4 linked regions of the Yarrowia lipolytica genome follow. The protein of the gene in region 1 interacts with the protein of each later gene in a pairwise test. Links are inferred from orthologs where the notes say so. Each region holds a gene or a part of one and is shown in the gene's direction. Other genes may lie near its edges. The genes, in order: YALI1_D09103g, YALI1_E38640g, YALI1_E25826g and YALI1_E39924g.

Region 1 (3,382 bases):
GAGGTAGTCAATGCGGTCATGTATCTGCACTCGCAAAACATTGTTCACCGTGACATTAAGCTGGAAAACGTTCTTCTCAATATCCCCGTGGAGGAGATGCTTACATTGGATCCCGTGACCTACCCATACAGTCTAGTCACGTTGACGGACCTGGGTCTCGCTCGTCGCATTGACCCCAGCGAGCCCACACTCACCACCCGCTGCGGCTCCGAGGACTACGTGCCTCCCGAGCTGCTCATGGGTCAGCCCTACGACGGCCGCCAGACCGACTCGTGGGCTCTTGGTGTACTTTTGTACGCCATCATGGAGGGTCGGCTTCCGTTTGACGCGCCCCGAACGTCTGGGGGTGGCCGGTCTCGTGGCCGGACGGCCCACCGGATTGCCCGGATCGAGTGGTCCTGGGGCGTGTTCAAGGACGAGCCCGATGGAACACCTAATACGTCTCCCAACCCCACCGGTCTAGGCGTGCCCACTGGCCAGTGGGATCGCGAGGCGTGGACCGGCGGCAAGGAGATTGTAAAGGGCTGTCTACAGCGGCGCAACAAGCGGTGGTCAGCGTTTGAAATTGGCCAGAGGCCGTGGGTCAAGGAGGTGCTGCCCAAGCGGCTCATTATGCGCGCTTCCATTGACGGTATGGCTGTGGAAACCAAGATGGTCAGTGTTGATACCCGGGACGTAGAGCGGGCGGCTTCGGAGCCTGCCCGAACCGAGCCTGCTACGATCAAGGCGTAACAGTTTGGTGGTTGAGACGATTTGGAGGAGACGATTTGGAGGGGACGATTTGGAGGAGACGATTTGGAGATGACGATCTGGAGGAGACGATTTGGAGATGACGATTTGGAGATGACTTGAGGGTGCGAGAAGTGCTCAACGAGATGACGATTATGACTTGCTCAACGAGATGACCACATTTGGATCTCGACTCACATGTAATATACTATATTTATTTGCATCATTAGGGGTAATTGAAGGTACCGGCAAGTAGAGTGGACTGTAACGAATGTCTTGCTCCGTATTATGTTTGAATGTGATGATAGGAAGGTGGATACTTGTACAAGAGTTGCAATCCGCATTTTCTTCTCAGATTCTGTTTGTTTAGGGTCAATTTGAAATTACTGTACATACATCGGAATACACATGATTCTTGCTTGTAATATAATATTTCAAGACTGCATACAGAGTGATGATGGCAGTTATCATGACAGATTATCACACACGATATACTGTATGTACTAGTCCGTCTGCTAATAATAGTTCAACACACCGTGTGTACAGTACAAGTACAACGTCTGTTTATAAACAGAACATGCTGAGCGAGTTGGGTCAATCACGTGACTGTGTCATTGGTGTGCCTTATGTAATATTTTGTAATATTTTGTATGGTAATGTGCCATCATTGTGTACTGGCTGTGTTATCGCATACCATAATCACCGTATCAAAAGTGAATGCAGTTTGCTGACACTTTGTACACCACCTCGGATTAGATCAAGTTAAAGCTCAGCGTGCGATTACTCAGCACTCCCTCTCTGGTCCTCGTCATTGGCACGATTTGGCTACATCGGTCTTGGATACGACGTGTGTTGGATAAGAGGGAGAGACGGTGCAGGCCAGCGCATCTGATACGGTGATTGCCCGTTGGTAGCGCTGTTCAGTAATACAGCTTTGTTTAGGTTCGCCCAGTGCAGGCAGTTGGACGCTTGTTCTGTAGCTATTGTTCAAGACTGTGGCTGGTATGGCAGGTGGTTGCAAGAGAAAAAAAGTCCGTTGCGAGCGAGTTTGGTCACGTGACAGGAGGAAATGTATATATCTATGTGATTCCGGGATCCCCTTTTCAGGTACCGGCTGTGTCTGTCTCGTCACTGCCCTCGGCATTATTATTGCCACCAACTCTCAGTTCTCCCAACCCACTTTGCCACTTTAGGACAAGCTCAGCGCTACCTTTGACTTTGACTTGGGTTGCCTCCTTTCTGTATCGTGACAGCACAGCTACAGCTACAGGATAAACGACGGCTCCCAGTTACTACAACAATCTCCCCGTGACCGTGACAGCAGCAGTGACATCAAAGCAACAGCGCAACAGCAACAGCAACCGCAACCGCAACAACAGCAGCGTCACCACTTGCAGTTTTACTCCAGAACATTACACTACTTTCACACGTAGTCACCTTGACATCTACAACACCGATAACAGTTCTCAACATGTCTGCCCCCAGAAAAACCACCAGCGTCAAACTGGTGCTGCTCGGCGAGGCCGCGGTCGGCAAGTCGTCGCTGGTGCTGCGGTTCGTCAGCAACGAGTTCCAGGAAAACAAAGAGCCCACCATCGGCGCAGCCTTCCTCACACAAAAGTGCAACTTCCCCGACCGCACAATCAAATTTGAAATCTGGGACACGGCCGGACAGGAGCGATTCGCCTCTCTGGCGCCCATGTACTATCGAAACGCCCAGACCGCGCTCGTGGTCTATGACATCACCAAGCCTCAGTCATTCATCAAGGCCCGACACTGGGTCAGCGAGCTCAAGTCCCAGGCATCTCCAGGCATCATCATTGCCCTGGTCGGCAACAAGCGAGATCTGGTGGACGACGACGAGTCTGCCCGAAAGGTGGCGGAGGACGAGGGCAAGCAGCTCGCCGAGGAGGAGGGTCTGCTCTTTTTTGAAACCTCGGCAAAGACCGGCCTCAACGTCAAGGACGTGTTCATGGCCATTGCCCAGAAGATTCCCGAGGAGCAGAAGGCGCCATCTGGAGGCCTCAGAGGAGCAGAGGAGGACAGCAGGGTCGACCTCAACTCGGCCGTCGCTGGCCCCGAAAGCAGCTGTGCTTGTTAGATAGAGTAATTATTGCGGAGATGCGCCATCCCAGCGGGCTGCCAATACAAGTGGCAGGCGTCGGTGTATGGCCTCAAGTAGACTCTACTTGTAGTTCACTTGTATCGTCCATGTCGGCGTCCATATTTTTTTAATCACCTTGTCTGTCTTGTTATCTACAAGTACAAGTACTGTGTGGACACAGCCCACTTCTCACTCACAAAAACATGGTCCCTGCGTTGGCCTTATTCACAGGTAGGCAGTAATTATGAGCATGGATAATGACGCATTTTTGTACGCAAACAGTTGAGAATAAGGTACCCCGTCATTCGCCGCGGTCAATCGGGCGCTTCAGGCGGGTCACGTGACCCTAGTATCCTGTCGCCATCGGCTTGTCGGACACTTGTGTATTTTGGTGTCACACAGTGTTTCCTCCTAGAGAGTAGATTGCGATCTTGGTCAGATGACATCATAATGAGACACATGCGCGGCTCGACGAAGCAATAGGATAATCGGCTGAAGCTGCAATTGGGGAGATAAGTAGCGCTGTGAAGGGGGATTTCTTCCCCAGGA
Region 2 (4,434 bases), on another chromosome or scaffold:
GTGCTTGTCGGTCCCCAGAACGGCGAAGTGGCCTGTGTTTCGACTAGACACTACTGTGAACTCCCGGCCACAATGGACGTCTGTGGGGGTAGAAGGAGCACAGGCTCCCAGGTCGAGCTTTCGGGGGATCCACAGGCATCGCACTGGCCCGTTCAGGAGTCCCAGTTGGCCCTTGCGTGCCCCTCCCCATCCCCAGACCTCTCCATCGTCGTACAGTACCACGACATGCTCCAAGCAGCAGCTCATGGCTGAAATAGATTTATCAGGCAGACCTTCGATTCGGCCCAGCTTGCGGCTGGTAGGGGTTGCCTGTCCTCGTCCTAGTCCTCCAAAGTTGGAGTGGCCACATGAGTAAACATGGTCCTGCTCATCTACGAGCAGAGAAAACGTCCACCCTGCGGCAGCCCGTTTCCAGGTGTGGCCTGGCGTGGCCATGCGAATGAACTCCTGGCATCTGCGCGTTTGAGTGTCTCCAAACTGGCCCATGTCGTTAGAACCAGTGACGTAGTATGCTTCGGGGTCGGACTGCATCAGGAGAATGGAGTGAGTCCCGCCAAACTCGAGAGCTATGGGTCGCTCTGTAATCAGCCCCTGTGGTCCGACCACAGTATGTACTTCGGCCGTGTCGTCCATGTGTCCATTTCCTAGCTGGCCATGGCCATTGGAACCCAAGGCGTATAGGCCCTGACGCATTTTTTTGGTGTGAAGGAGTAGAGATGAGAACCCTGCAGATACCAACTTAATGTGTGGCAATACAGTAGGATTATGTCAGCGAGTTTGGAGGCACGTCAGTAGCCTCTTGAGATCGCTCGAGGTAAAAATATTGCTCTACAACCAAGCCCAATTTTCTTTCATTAGATTTCATCACGTCTTTTCCCGTCTACGTCCTTGTCCATCTCGTCAAAGCGCCGTGCCCCATCTTCCTCATTTCTGATGCCTACACTCTGCAAGCTGTTGCAGGTGGAGGAAAAAAAAAGTGGATACCCCATCTTGAATGGACTGAAAGATCGGGGTAATACGACACACAAGTTCCCGGTCTAAATTAAGGACGGTTTAAAGGAGTAATGGATCCTGTCTGCATACTTATTAGATTTCTCCATCGGATATTATCATCATGGAGATAATTTTTGCCCTCCCAAATCACCGTCTCTTGCTTGGTTGTTTTTCATCTTGTCACGGGTTGCAAATTCTATCGGACTGACACTTTGTTCCGTCTCTCTTCGTTCCCTTTTATCTCGCTTACGGATTGGCACAACACCGTAACCTTGACAACGCAAAGGGTATACCGTAGTTAAATTCTTTTACCGGCGGTCTGGACCTGGATAACCCCCCTTGATTTATGGGTTATACGAGCTCGGAAAGAAAAGAAAAAGAGGAAAAAAAGTTTAGACAAGGGAAGATGCGCCAGAGCGACTTGCTCTTTGCCACCATTAGCAGCACTCTATATTCTCCGAGTCTTCGTAGTGGCTAAAGGTGTTTGGTTTGTCCTCTGCCAAGAACATGTGTGGAATGTGCATGATGGTGTTTACAGTACATTTTGGCTGCTCTGCTGTATTATCACACACGAGCATGGGGAACTAAGCAAAGTGCGCCACTGAAAACGCCACAGTATCGGATACGTACGGTACGAGTAAGAGGACGAGTGCAAGTATTCCTGTTCCTACAGTATGTACTATTATCGCCTGGGTACTCGCACAGCAGAAGTTGTTCAACATCATCCAGCCGATTCTTTTCTCGGTCATCGGAAGCCGTTCATTATTGACTGCGGCCCGCTCCCTTTCGTTTATTCAACAGAAATGGAGTGTTCTTTATTTTAGACCCTGTTTGCAAGCCCACTGTGTGAGCTGTCTGGCTCAGCTCAGTTCAGTTCAGTTCAGCCAACATGAAGCATCTAACTCAAACTCGGCAATCTTCGCGAGTCACCATGCAGGCTGTTTGGTGGCTGGCCGAGGACCAGTGCACTGCACACATATAGATAGTGAGTCAGCAACGCGAGAAGTGGGTGGTTGTAATGGATTAAACAAGGGTTTAAGTCACCCGAAAAGCCTCAGAAAGAGCCTATAATTCGGTTGTCGTTTTCACTGCTATCTTTGCTGTTTGGACTCCCCACAAAGAGTGCCATATTCAGCTTGCCACCTCCTACTGCCCAAAGTTAACCTACTCGTACGCTCTCGCCATGTAATCGCTCATGCAGAAACATCACCACAAAATAATTCAGAAGTGAAAATTTGGGAAGACACGACCAAGCAACACACAACCATGAGTCTGTTGGATCTTCCTATCGAGAAGACGAAAAAGAAGGTGGTTGAAGAGGAGCCAAATCCGCCGTTGGACAACACCAAACCCACCAAAGTCGAGGAGGTGGAACAAGAACAGCACGGCGCAAATGTTGAAGATGACGACAGCACCAAGGACACAGCTGACACCACAGATACCAACAAGTCGGTCGAGGTTGAGGTAGTTGAAACCGAGCCTGAAAGTGAGGTTGGATCAACCACCGATGCTGCCCGACCGACTGGGGCTACTCCAGGTAACGAAGAGAAGGCCACTCCAAGCTCGTCTGATGATAACGCCCCTTTCGACTTTCAGCGGTTTCTGGAACTGCTGCGACACAAGAACGCAGACCCCATCGCACGATATCTCAAGTCCTTTCTCAGCGAATTCAACAAGAAGAGATGGACTGTCAATGAGCAGGTCAAGATCATTGGTGATTTCAAGGAGTTCATCAGCAACAAGATCCAACAGATGCAGAGCCCTCCCTTTGCGGATATGACCGACAACGAGCTCGTCAACATGGAGGAAGGTATCGAGAAGCTTATCATGAACCGGCTTTATTCAAAGACATATTCTCCTGAGGTGGTCAAGCTGGACAATGCGGACAGCATAGGTGTTCTTCATGCGAAGAATCCCAGTGCCGCTGCAGACGGAAACGAAGAGGATCTTATCCGAGATCATGTATTGGAAGAGAAACTGCTGCTTTGGGGATGGATCGAAGGCCGTCATTTGGATATTGACGATAAGTTCTGGAAATCGGGTGCATCGTTTGTGACTTTGGCAAGTGAGGAACTTCGAAAGATTAACAACTACAGAGCTCCCCGGGATAAGATGATTTGCGTGCTCAACTGCTGCAAGGTCATCTTTGGACTTCTGAGACAGACCAAGAGTGAGGAATCCGCAGACGGGTTCCTTCCTTTGCTTATTTATGTGGTTCTCAAGGCCCAGCCGCAGCACCTGATTTCTAACCTCAACTATATTCAGCGGTTCAGATCGAGCGAGCGGCTTAGCGGAGAGCCCGGGTACTATCTTTCTTCGCTGCTGGGAGCCGTTGCTTTTGTTGAGCAGCTGGACAAGTCGTCGTTGAGCATCACCGATGAGGACTTTGATACCAACCTGGAACAAACTCTGGCTGAGATTGCTGAGAAGAACGCCAAGAAGGAGCAGGAGGCCGCCGAGGAGGCCAAGCAGAAGGCTCTTGCGCCACCAGACACCCCCGGCAGAGCTGATTCACAATCTCCAGCTCTGTCACCTGAGAGCAGCACTCCTTCTAACATTCTCATGAGCTCTGCAGGACTCATTACTAGCCCCTTCAAGTCGCTCAGTAAGTTCTTTGAGGGCAGCTTTGACGATGCGGGAGCTTCAACGGAGGACGCTACTCCCCAGTCTGAAGCTGAGAGCATCGCTGTTGCCCAGGGTCTGTCTCACCAGGAGGCAGCTGCTCGACAAGCCTCTGCTGAGGAGTACGAGGCTCAAAGAATCCAAAATGAGGAACACGCTTCTGTGGTCAACACTCTGCACCAAATGTTCCCTATCCTCGATCACGAAATCATTGAAGATATCGTGAGAGAGAAGAAATGCAACGTTGGAGCTGCTGTTGACTACTGTCTTATGCTGGTTGGTGAGTCCTGATGTGTACTGCACGACTACCTACAATCAAAAAGGAACGAAATTAATGAATTATGATGGATATAGATGAATAGAGAAAATAATCTCTAATGATGTTACTACAAGTAGCAAAACTTTTGACGGCGCGTTGTGGTATCGTATGTATTAATGATTATGAAAATGGACTGTATAATGCTATCGTCTCCGACCGTAGACGTCCGCGAACTTGGATCCGGGGGCCGGTTTAGGAGGGCTGGGTTGTTTGATGGGACTTGCTGGTCTCATGAGTGCAGGAATGTTGACTCGCGCTTGGGACTGGGGGAGTGAGGGGGCATTAAGGGATAATGAAGAGAGCTTCTTGGTGGGGGAAGCCGATCTGGTTCGGTTTCGACCTTCTAGAGATGTGGGAGATCCTTCGATCGGATCTAAAGGTTTGGCTGTAGCCAGTGCAGAATTGTAGCTAGGTCTAGGTTGTTGCGTTTTGGGTCGACCATTGAGTCTAGGATCTGCTCTTAGATCCAATCGACTTCCTCCTCCACTCATATCTCTTCT
Region 3 (4,151 bases), on another chromosome or scaffold:
GAGCGGCACTTGTAACGCATGGACACGTTGATTTCAAACCCGCACGACGCCTTGTAGATGGTCAGGTATCGAACTGTGTGTCTTTGGAACTCTTCGTAAGCCAGTGGACTAAGCCGTCCTCGGTATCCTCTGACCTCCTTGAGCTCCAGAAACGCGTTGGTGGCCTTCTTCACCGCCAGATTAGCCGCAGCTCCGGTCTCGCAGGCGGCAATGGAGCGCACCAGGTCGTGGATATGACGATCTGAAATGCCGCGTAACGGCTTGTAGTGCACGGAGGCCTTGCGGACCTCGGCCCAGTAGAATACGCGCTCCAGCAGCAGGTCGGTGAGAGCGTCGTCGATGGTTGCCAACTCCCCGGGCGTGACCGTGATCATTGTGCTGTTGACGGGTCGTTAGATGGTCGTTAGTATGGCTTGTGTACAGCTTTGAATTTAGCAAAAGATGCGTGCTTTCATGCATGTGGGGGTCACAGTGGTGTGGTTGTTCTGAAGGGTGTGGGGAGAGTGTGTATATAAGAGGGTGGTTCCCGGGTGAATATTCGACATGGAAAACTCGTTTTATTTCTTTCAGGTGGTATTTACGTCGTTGCCAGGGGTTTTTCTGCTCTACAACTTGTGCATTAACTGTCACCCATCTGAGCTACTACTCCTCATGCGCCCTACACCCATAGCTGACTGACAAGGGTGATTCATAAAAGAGAGCTTGTATGAAAGACTGTGTATAACAGATATGAGGCTCTACAGTATGAGGCTGTGGTTACCGAGCCGGGTTGTACCATCACTTTTTATTGCATATCCTGTAATAATCAGAAAGATGGTGCAAGAACCAAAAACAGCCGTATATTCGTATGTACTCGTTCTTGTTCTATCTGTCCTGTCACACGTCAGCGGAAACTAGCCAACTAGTGGCTTATAGACGTGTTTTGAGAGCCGTACTATACAGAATCGTATCTCTGTCTCTGTTGTTTACGACTCTAGAAACCAGAAATGGTTTCAGAGTGGTCTTCAGAGTGGTCACACACAACCACTTATGCCCGAACTGCATCCCATCGCATGTTTCAGATCAGGCCGAGACGGTTTAAATCGGGTTTAAATCACCCCAGAGCGTTTGAATTCGATCTTGAGGGGATAACGACCCACCAACTAACGACATACAAGTGCTACTGGACGAGGTTGAGTACATTTACTGTATACAGTACCAGTGTTAAGTACCGTACGGTACTTGTAGTACTGTCAGAGTTAGAGGCAACAATATTTACTGTTTTGGTGTGCAGTACATACGAGTGTACTACTGGAATCGACTGAGATGGGGGGGGGATGTAGAGAGTCATCGTTGGGGTATCCGTACAGTATACTTGTACCACTGTGCAGGTGTAGATCTGTCAAATGAAAGGTGATTAAAGACTTCTCCATATCAAATCCCTTCTTTCTTTTCTTCGGAAGCCCTATCTTTCCGCAACTCCAGTTTCACCTTGTTGCTACAGTAAATAAACGCTATCCTTGACTTTCTTTCAACTAAATTAGGTGCAATGCTTACCCAAGTTTGTTAGCCGTCTACACCACAGCATCGGTCACAACTCCACCAGTAGACTAGATATACAAAATCAAAACACATATCCGCACTCCACGTAATCACTAAACCTCAAAACCTGCCCTACCTTTTCAACAACTCCCTAACCTGCCGACCCTCACATGCAACCCCGCCATATTACTCAGCTTATCACGCACCACCCACAAGTACACTCTATTTCAGCATGCGCAAAAAACGAGTGATCGGAACCAAGGTGGAGCCGGTGAAGGAGCCCAAGGTGGTGCAAACAAGCGCCGCTCCCACTCCGCCACCCCCGCCGACCCCGCCGGTCGTCTCCACGGCGTCCCCAGGCCCCGAATCACACTCAGCCACTTCGCTGACATGTCCGATTTGCGAGGAGACAATGTTGACGCTGATGCAACTGAATCGGCACATTGACGACGTACACGGTGATGGCAAGGTAAAGGGCAAGACACGGGCGTCCAGCGAGAAACCACACACGAAACCGCGACCCACCGACGAAATGGTGACCAGACGGCACTGGAAGCACCCCGGACCGGGCCAAACATGCCACTATCCGGACTGCAAACGCAAGCTGGGAGCCAGGAACGGCTCAAGGCACTGCCGACATTGTGGAAACATCTTCTGCCACGGCCACAGTCGCTACAGAATGAAGTTGAGCCGAGATGCTCACCACCAACCAAAGGGCGGTATCTGGTGTTGGGTGTGCAAGACTTGCTACACGGGCAGAGAAGGGTACAATGACACGACAGGTACTGAAAGAGATCTGACGCAAGAGTTCAAGAAAAAACGCCAGGCGAAAATCGACATCCAGGAGCTGTCCGTCAATAAGCTGGAAAACAGACTGAGACGACTTGCGGAGGAAAGCATAGAGAACGAGAGCTCGGGACCCTGGTGGAAACCCAAGGCGGCTGTCACAGCCTCAGTACCATGGCAGGAAGACTCAACACAGCCCAATTGTCCGGAATGCCAGGTCAAATTCACCTTTCTGATCCGCCCTCATCATTGCAGGGTGTGCGGAAAGGTGGTGTGTGGACAGACATCCACACAATGTTCTCTTCCTGTTGGTGTGAACATTTTAATCAACAGTCTCGATATGAAAGAGGAGTTCAGCGACACCATTCCAACAGATTGCGAACCCATACGGATCTGCATGACTTGCAAGAATACAGTCTTTGGTAGACGTAACTTTCAGCGGGATGTCAACTCCGATCCCAGCGAGCTGCTTAAGCTGTACAACACCATGACCCATCTGACCACTTCCATCGAAAACATGATGCCTCGGTTCCAAAAGGAGCTTGAGGAGACGATTGCGTCCAAAAAGATGGCCGGTATGCATCCCAAGGACATTTTGGCAGCGTCCAAGCTGCGTAAGCGTCTTCTCGATACCTTTTCGCAGCTAGATTCGGCTGCTAGAAGAGTAGGAGCACTGGAGGGACTGTCTCCTACAGAAGAGCGAATACAGCAACAGATATACACAGCTGCGGTGTCATTTCTACAAGAGAAGATGCTGCCCTTGAAAACGCTTCCCAAGGTGCTGGGTAGTGAAGCTACAGCCCCCGAGCCAGCTAAACCCCGTCCTCCTGCCAACTACAAGGCACTTCAGCAACAGCTGGTGGTCATGGAGGAACAGAGGTTTATGGTGGAGAACATGATGCTGGAGGCCAAGCAGAGGCGAAAGTACGACGAACTGGGGCCTTTAGAGATGTCTGTGAAGGATCTCGATAAAGAGATTGAAATTCTGAGGAAGAGGCTAGGAGATGAAGCATTTGTTTAATCTCAGTTTAGAGCAGCACCACGAAGGAATATTTGTACTCATAGAAAGTGCTAGCGACCCTATGGCATGATACTGTATGTATCAGAACAGTAATGAATAATGAATGATGACAATTATGTATATTACTTGTGGCGGATTCGGTGACTGTAGATAATTGTACAAGATACAACTATACTTGAACATCACATACGAGTGCGGAACATTTCAGAACGTGAAAATGTTCTGTGATTCTAGATCAAGTCTGTAATTACTCCATACTCTATCCAACATACATTAGCTATACTTGTCCTTCTAAGACCGATCGAAGAGCCCATCATCATCATCGTAGTCGTCTCCTCCGCTGACGGACCAATCGTCCGAGTCGCCCATTTCGCTGTCATCGTCATCATCGTCATCTTCGTCATGGTCGTCAGTGTATTCGTCGGACTCCATCAAACCCTCCAAGGACAGCTGTAGCATGGTTTCGTTCTTGGCCACCTTGCCAGCCTCCACCTTGTATCCTCCTTCAACATTGCAGCCTGTGAGTTTGGCCTTGGTACCGACTGTGGTCTTAGTTCCGACCAGACAGTTCTCCAGAGTAACGTCATCGGCAATGAAAGCGCCGTCAAAGATGACACAGCCGTTGATTCGACATCGTTTGCCGATGGTGCAGTTGTTTCCAACCACAGATCGCTTTATACTGGTTCGCTCGCCCAGCTGGGTCTCTTCGCCGACCAGAGAGTCGACACCAACAGTGGCAGCTCCCTTAACAGCTGGAGCGGGCTTCTGGGCAGTGGCGTTGGCCTTGGCTCTTGCCTTCAGAATCACTCGGTTCATTTCCATG
Region 4 (3,837 bases), on another chromosome or scaffold:
ATGGCGTGTGTACCTCTGGTCTCAGGCAATTCCTTGCAGACATTGCTGACAAGGTCAGCGGCACCGGGATCGAGACCAAGGAAGGGGTCGTCGATGAGCAGAAGCTCGGGATGCTTCATGAGAGCCTTGGCGATTCGAGATCGCCGGGTCTGCCCGTTGGAAAGAGCTCCAAACCATCGATCACCAATTTGGTCCAGCTCCAACATCTTCAGCAACTGGGGAATGTCGTCCATCGCGGTTGCGGGATCACGGGAGGCTCGCTTGAGCTCCTCGATGAGAGTCATGTCGAACTCGTCCTTGAAGAACTCATATCGAGCTGACAAGTGACCCATGTTGATTGATCCTCGGAACTCCAGCGTCTGGATGACTTGGCTGGGAACCCGTTTTTTCTTGAGGAAAGGGTACTGCCGGCCCAGAGGTGGATCTGATACATGTTTGGCGGCCAGAATGGACATCAATTGCGACTTTCGAGGTCCACTGATGACCCATTTCTCATCCGGGTTGATTGTCAGCGAAATGGGATTGGGGAAAATGTAAGGGTTGGATCCTGACGAGGCCAGGGCCCCAATCATGCGGAACTTCGCGTCTTTTATCGATATCAGCGGCAATCGAGTCATTTCACTGTCGTTGTGATGTTTCGAGAAGGATGAATTTGACTCTTACTTATCACTGGTCTAGAGCCGTATAAGGTTGCCTAAACATGTACTCAATAATCTGGTGTGGGGGGTTGAATGTGGGGGTACTGGATGTGGGGGTGGAGAAGACAAAAGCACTCGGCATCGAAGAGTCAGCTTGAAATCGGTGTTATTCATATCCAATCGTCGCATGTAGTTTCCTAAATAGGACCTCTAAAGCCGCAGTACATATCCATCAGAACGGTGGAACGTTACTTTTTTCTGATCAAAAGTGAAAATTCAGAGGGAAATGATTCTCAAGCCATGGTTAAGGCAGGTTATGAGAAATTTATCTGGAGAGAGGGAAGAACAAAAACAATAGGAACGCCATAGTTTCTAGCAATTGTCCCACTCTTTCCCTATCGTTATGTGCTCTATATCGACTCTGCTCGCCTCGTATCAATACAGTACAAGTACCTGCAATGGTATCGTACTCGTATGGCTAAAATTACGAGGATACGATCATGATGATGGTAACCGCAGCAACAACTCAGCTCCCAGGAGACACACATGAGTACTGCTGAGAATATGCACGTGCTGTTACGATGGCCACGCAATCATCAATAAACGATATGAACGTATACAACTTATCAATTCACCCAGATAAACACTCAATTGTCTCACTGATCACAGGCTAACTCTTTCAGTCGCACTGCCGCACTCACACCTCCAAGCCTTGTGTGGCTATTAACATCCCTGATTCTGCATGACGGGTGTCCCAACCGTGCAACCATGCATGGCCACGTAGCGATATGGCGAATCTAGAGATGAGTCGCTACACTATGATGAGAGCTGGGGAGGCGGGTACCTGTCATGATTAAACGACAACTGACTCTACCTCCCTACCATAGCTTGTACTTTATAGTGTCACCTTCCACGGAAAGACCTAACCCAGATTGCACTAGTAACCAAATCCGGGTAACGCAACCCTAATCAACCACGTCCCTTAAGCAACACCTTACGCTAGCCTTCGTGGAACCTCTCTCTTGAACCCTTCTTATACAACAACCCACATATCATCATGGACGAAAAATACGACGTCATTGTGCTCGGCACGGGCCTTACCGAGTGCATTCTCTCCGGTATCCTATCCGTCGAGGGCAAGAAGGTGTTGCACATTGACCGGCAGGACCACTACGGTGGAGAGTCTGCTTCTCTCAACCTTACCCAGCTCTACAAGAAGTTCAGACCTGGCAAGGAGGACACCAAGCCCGACGGACTGGGCCGAGACCGAGACTGGAACGTGGATCTGATCCCTAAATTCCTCATGGCCAATGGAGAGCTTTCCAACATTCTGGTGCACACCAACGTGACCCGATACATCGACTTTAAGCAGATTTCCGGCTCCTTCGTTTTCCGATCTGGAAAGATCGCCAAGGTGCCCTCCAACCGATCGGAGGCCATTAACTCTTCTCTCATGGGTATGTTTGAGAAGCGACGACTTGCCAAGTTCCTCGAGTTCGTCGGAGGCTACAAGGAGGACGATCTCGCCACCCACCAGGGCCTCAAGCTCGACACCAACACCATGTCCGAGGTCTACCTCAAGTTTGGTCTTGAGACCGGCACTCGGGACTTTGTGGGCCACTCTATGGCTCTGTGGACCAACGACGACTACCTCAAGCAGCCTGCTCGAGAGACCGTGGAGCGAATCGCCCTCTACCTCAACTCCATGGCCCGATACGGAAAGTCTCCTTACATCTACCCCGTCTACGGTCTGGGTGAGCTGCCCCAGGGTTTTGCCCGTCTCTCCGCCATCTACGGAGGTACCTTCATGCTTAACAAGCCCGTTGACGAGATTGTCTACGGTGAGGACGGCAAGGTGACTGGTGTCAAGTCTGAGGGCGAGGTTGCTTCCGCTCCCATTGTCATCGGTGATCCCACCTACTTCCCTGAGAAGGTCAAGAAGACTGGCCAGAAGGTTATCCGAGCCATGTGCATTTTGGACCACCCCGTGCCCAACACTGGCAACCTGGACTCTGTTCAGATCATCATCCCCCAGAACCAGGTCCAGCGAAAGAACGACATTTATATTGCTGTCATGTCTTCTGCCCACAACGTCTGCGCCAAGGACCACTACCTGGCCATTGTCTCCACCATCATCGAGACCGACAAGCCCCACATTGAGCTTGAGCCTGCCTTCAACCTGCTGGGTCCCCGAAAGGAGACCCTGATGGGCATTGCCGACATCTACGAGCCCATCGAGGATGGCACCAAGGACGGAGTCTTCATCTCCAAGTCCTACGACTCGTCTTCGCATTTCGAGTCGACCACTGACGATGTCAAGGACATTTATTTCCGCCTGACTGGCCAGCCCCTGGTGGTCAAGCCCCGACCCGAGAACGAGGAGGATGAGAGCGCTATTAGAGCCGAGTAAGCTGCATGTCTGTAATGATAATATATTGAAATGAGTGATTATGCATGATATTATGTAATCTTACTTAGGGAATTGCAGAGTAGATAACTGCGAATATAAGATAAATTGATGACTCGTTAATGTTAAGTAAACGCATACGCAACCCAGACCCCATCCTACACACTCGCACAGTGTTAACCAACCAAATAAATTAATTACAACGCCTAGAATAAAAAGTATTAACCAGGCTCTAGAGTGCCTGATTAAGTTGTTCATCTCATGCTGTATGGTCCGGTATCTCGGCCCATTAAGCTAGCAGGAGACATGCCGGGTCGACCGCCGCGACCAGGTTTTCGCCGAGTTTGAGGCTGGAACTGGAAGTCGGGGTTGCCCGAAAGCAAGAGATCGTGCTTATTGCCATGACCAGGTCCCCCGCCACCATAAGGAGGTCGAGGACCCATATTGGGAGGAGGACCACCCATGTTGTGGCCACCCATGTTGTGGCCACCCATGTTGGGACCACCCATTCCCATATGAGGTGGGGGTCCTCGCATATGAGGAGGAGGAGGAGCTCCTTGGTGGAGGCCTCCTGGAGGTCCATCAGCCCCGAAGTATCGGGGGTTGATACCCCGCTGGGACACTGATGTGAAATTGGACGAGATGGACTCGGAGGGCGATACTGGAGCGTCAGGAATGAAAGAGTTTCGGAACTGCTCGTCCACGGGAGGAGAGTACCAAGGAGAGTCCTTGTTGTTGAGAGCTCCAGAGTTGGAGGGAGTCACGGTGGTAGGAACAGGCTGATGCAAAGTG

The links.
Region 2: the proteins of YALI1_D09103g (region 1) and YALI1_E38640g interact in a two-hybrid assay, tested with the Saccharomyces cerevisiae proteins (3 studies listed by BioGRID, with this or other methods). The link is inferred for Yarrowia lipolytica from reciprocal best matches to the Saccharomyces cerevisiae genes VPS21 and VPS9.
Region 3: the proteins of YALI1_D09103g (region 1) and YALI1_E25826g interact in a two-hybrid assay, tested with the Saccharomyces cerevisiae proteins (4 studies listed by BioGRID). The link is inferred for Yarrowia lipolytica from reciprocal best matches to the Saccharomyces cerevisiae genes VPS21 and PEP7.
Region 4: the proteins of YALI1_D09103g (region 1) and YALI1_E39924g interact in binary tests that used the Saccharomyces cerevisiae proteins (3 or more experiments, as listed by UniProt). The link is inferred for Yarrowia lipolytica from reciprocal best matches to the Saccharomyces cerevisiae genes VPS21 and GDI1.

What each region holds. Positions count from the first base shown.
Region 1 is NC_090773.1:909,214-912,595, reverse strand, and holds YALI1_D09103g (uncharacterized protein), read left to right. Parts: upstream 1-2,200; coding exon 2,201-2,830; downstream 2,831-3,382. Other genes in the region: YALI1_D09140g (uncharacterized protein), read left to right, coding at 1-732.
Region 2 is NC_090774.1:3,861,882-3,866,315, reverse strand, and holds YALI1_E38640g (uncharacterized protein), read left to right. Parts: upstream 1-2,259; coding exon 2,260-3,906; downstream 3,907-4,434. Other genes in the region: YALI1_E38656g (uncharacterized protein), read right to left, coding at 1-693; YALI1_E38608g (uncharacterized protein), read right to left, coding at 4,078-4,434.
Region 3 is NC_090774.1:2,580,884-2,585,034, forward strand, and holds YALI1_E25826g (uncharacterized protein), read left to right. Parts: upstream 1-1,753; coding exon 1,754-3,328; downstream 3,329-4,151. Other genes in the region: YALI1_E25812g (uncharacterized protein), read right to left, coding at 1-374; YALI1_E25859g (uncharacterized protein), read right to left, coding at 3,620-4,151. UniProt on the Saccharomyces cerevisiae protein: Required for vacuole segregation and vacuole protein sorting. Possibly part of a complex which tethers the vacuole membrane to microtubules, either directly or via kinesin or dynein-like motor proteins.
Region 4 is NC_090774.1:3,990,248-3,994,084, reverse strand, and holds YALI1_E39924g (uncharacterized protein), read left to right. Parts: upstream 1-1,695; coding exon 1,696-3,048; downstream 3,049-3,837. Other genes in the region: YALI1_E39934g (uncharacterized protein), read right to left, coding at 1-617; YALI1_E39886g (uncharacterized protein), read right to left, coding at 3,300-3,837. UniProt on the Saccharomyces cerevisiae protein: Regulates the GDP/GTP exchange reaction of SEC4 by inhibiting the dissociation of GDP from it, and the subsequent binding of GTP to SEC4. Plays an essential role in the yeast secretory pathway.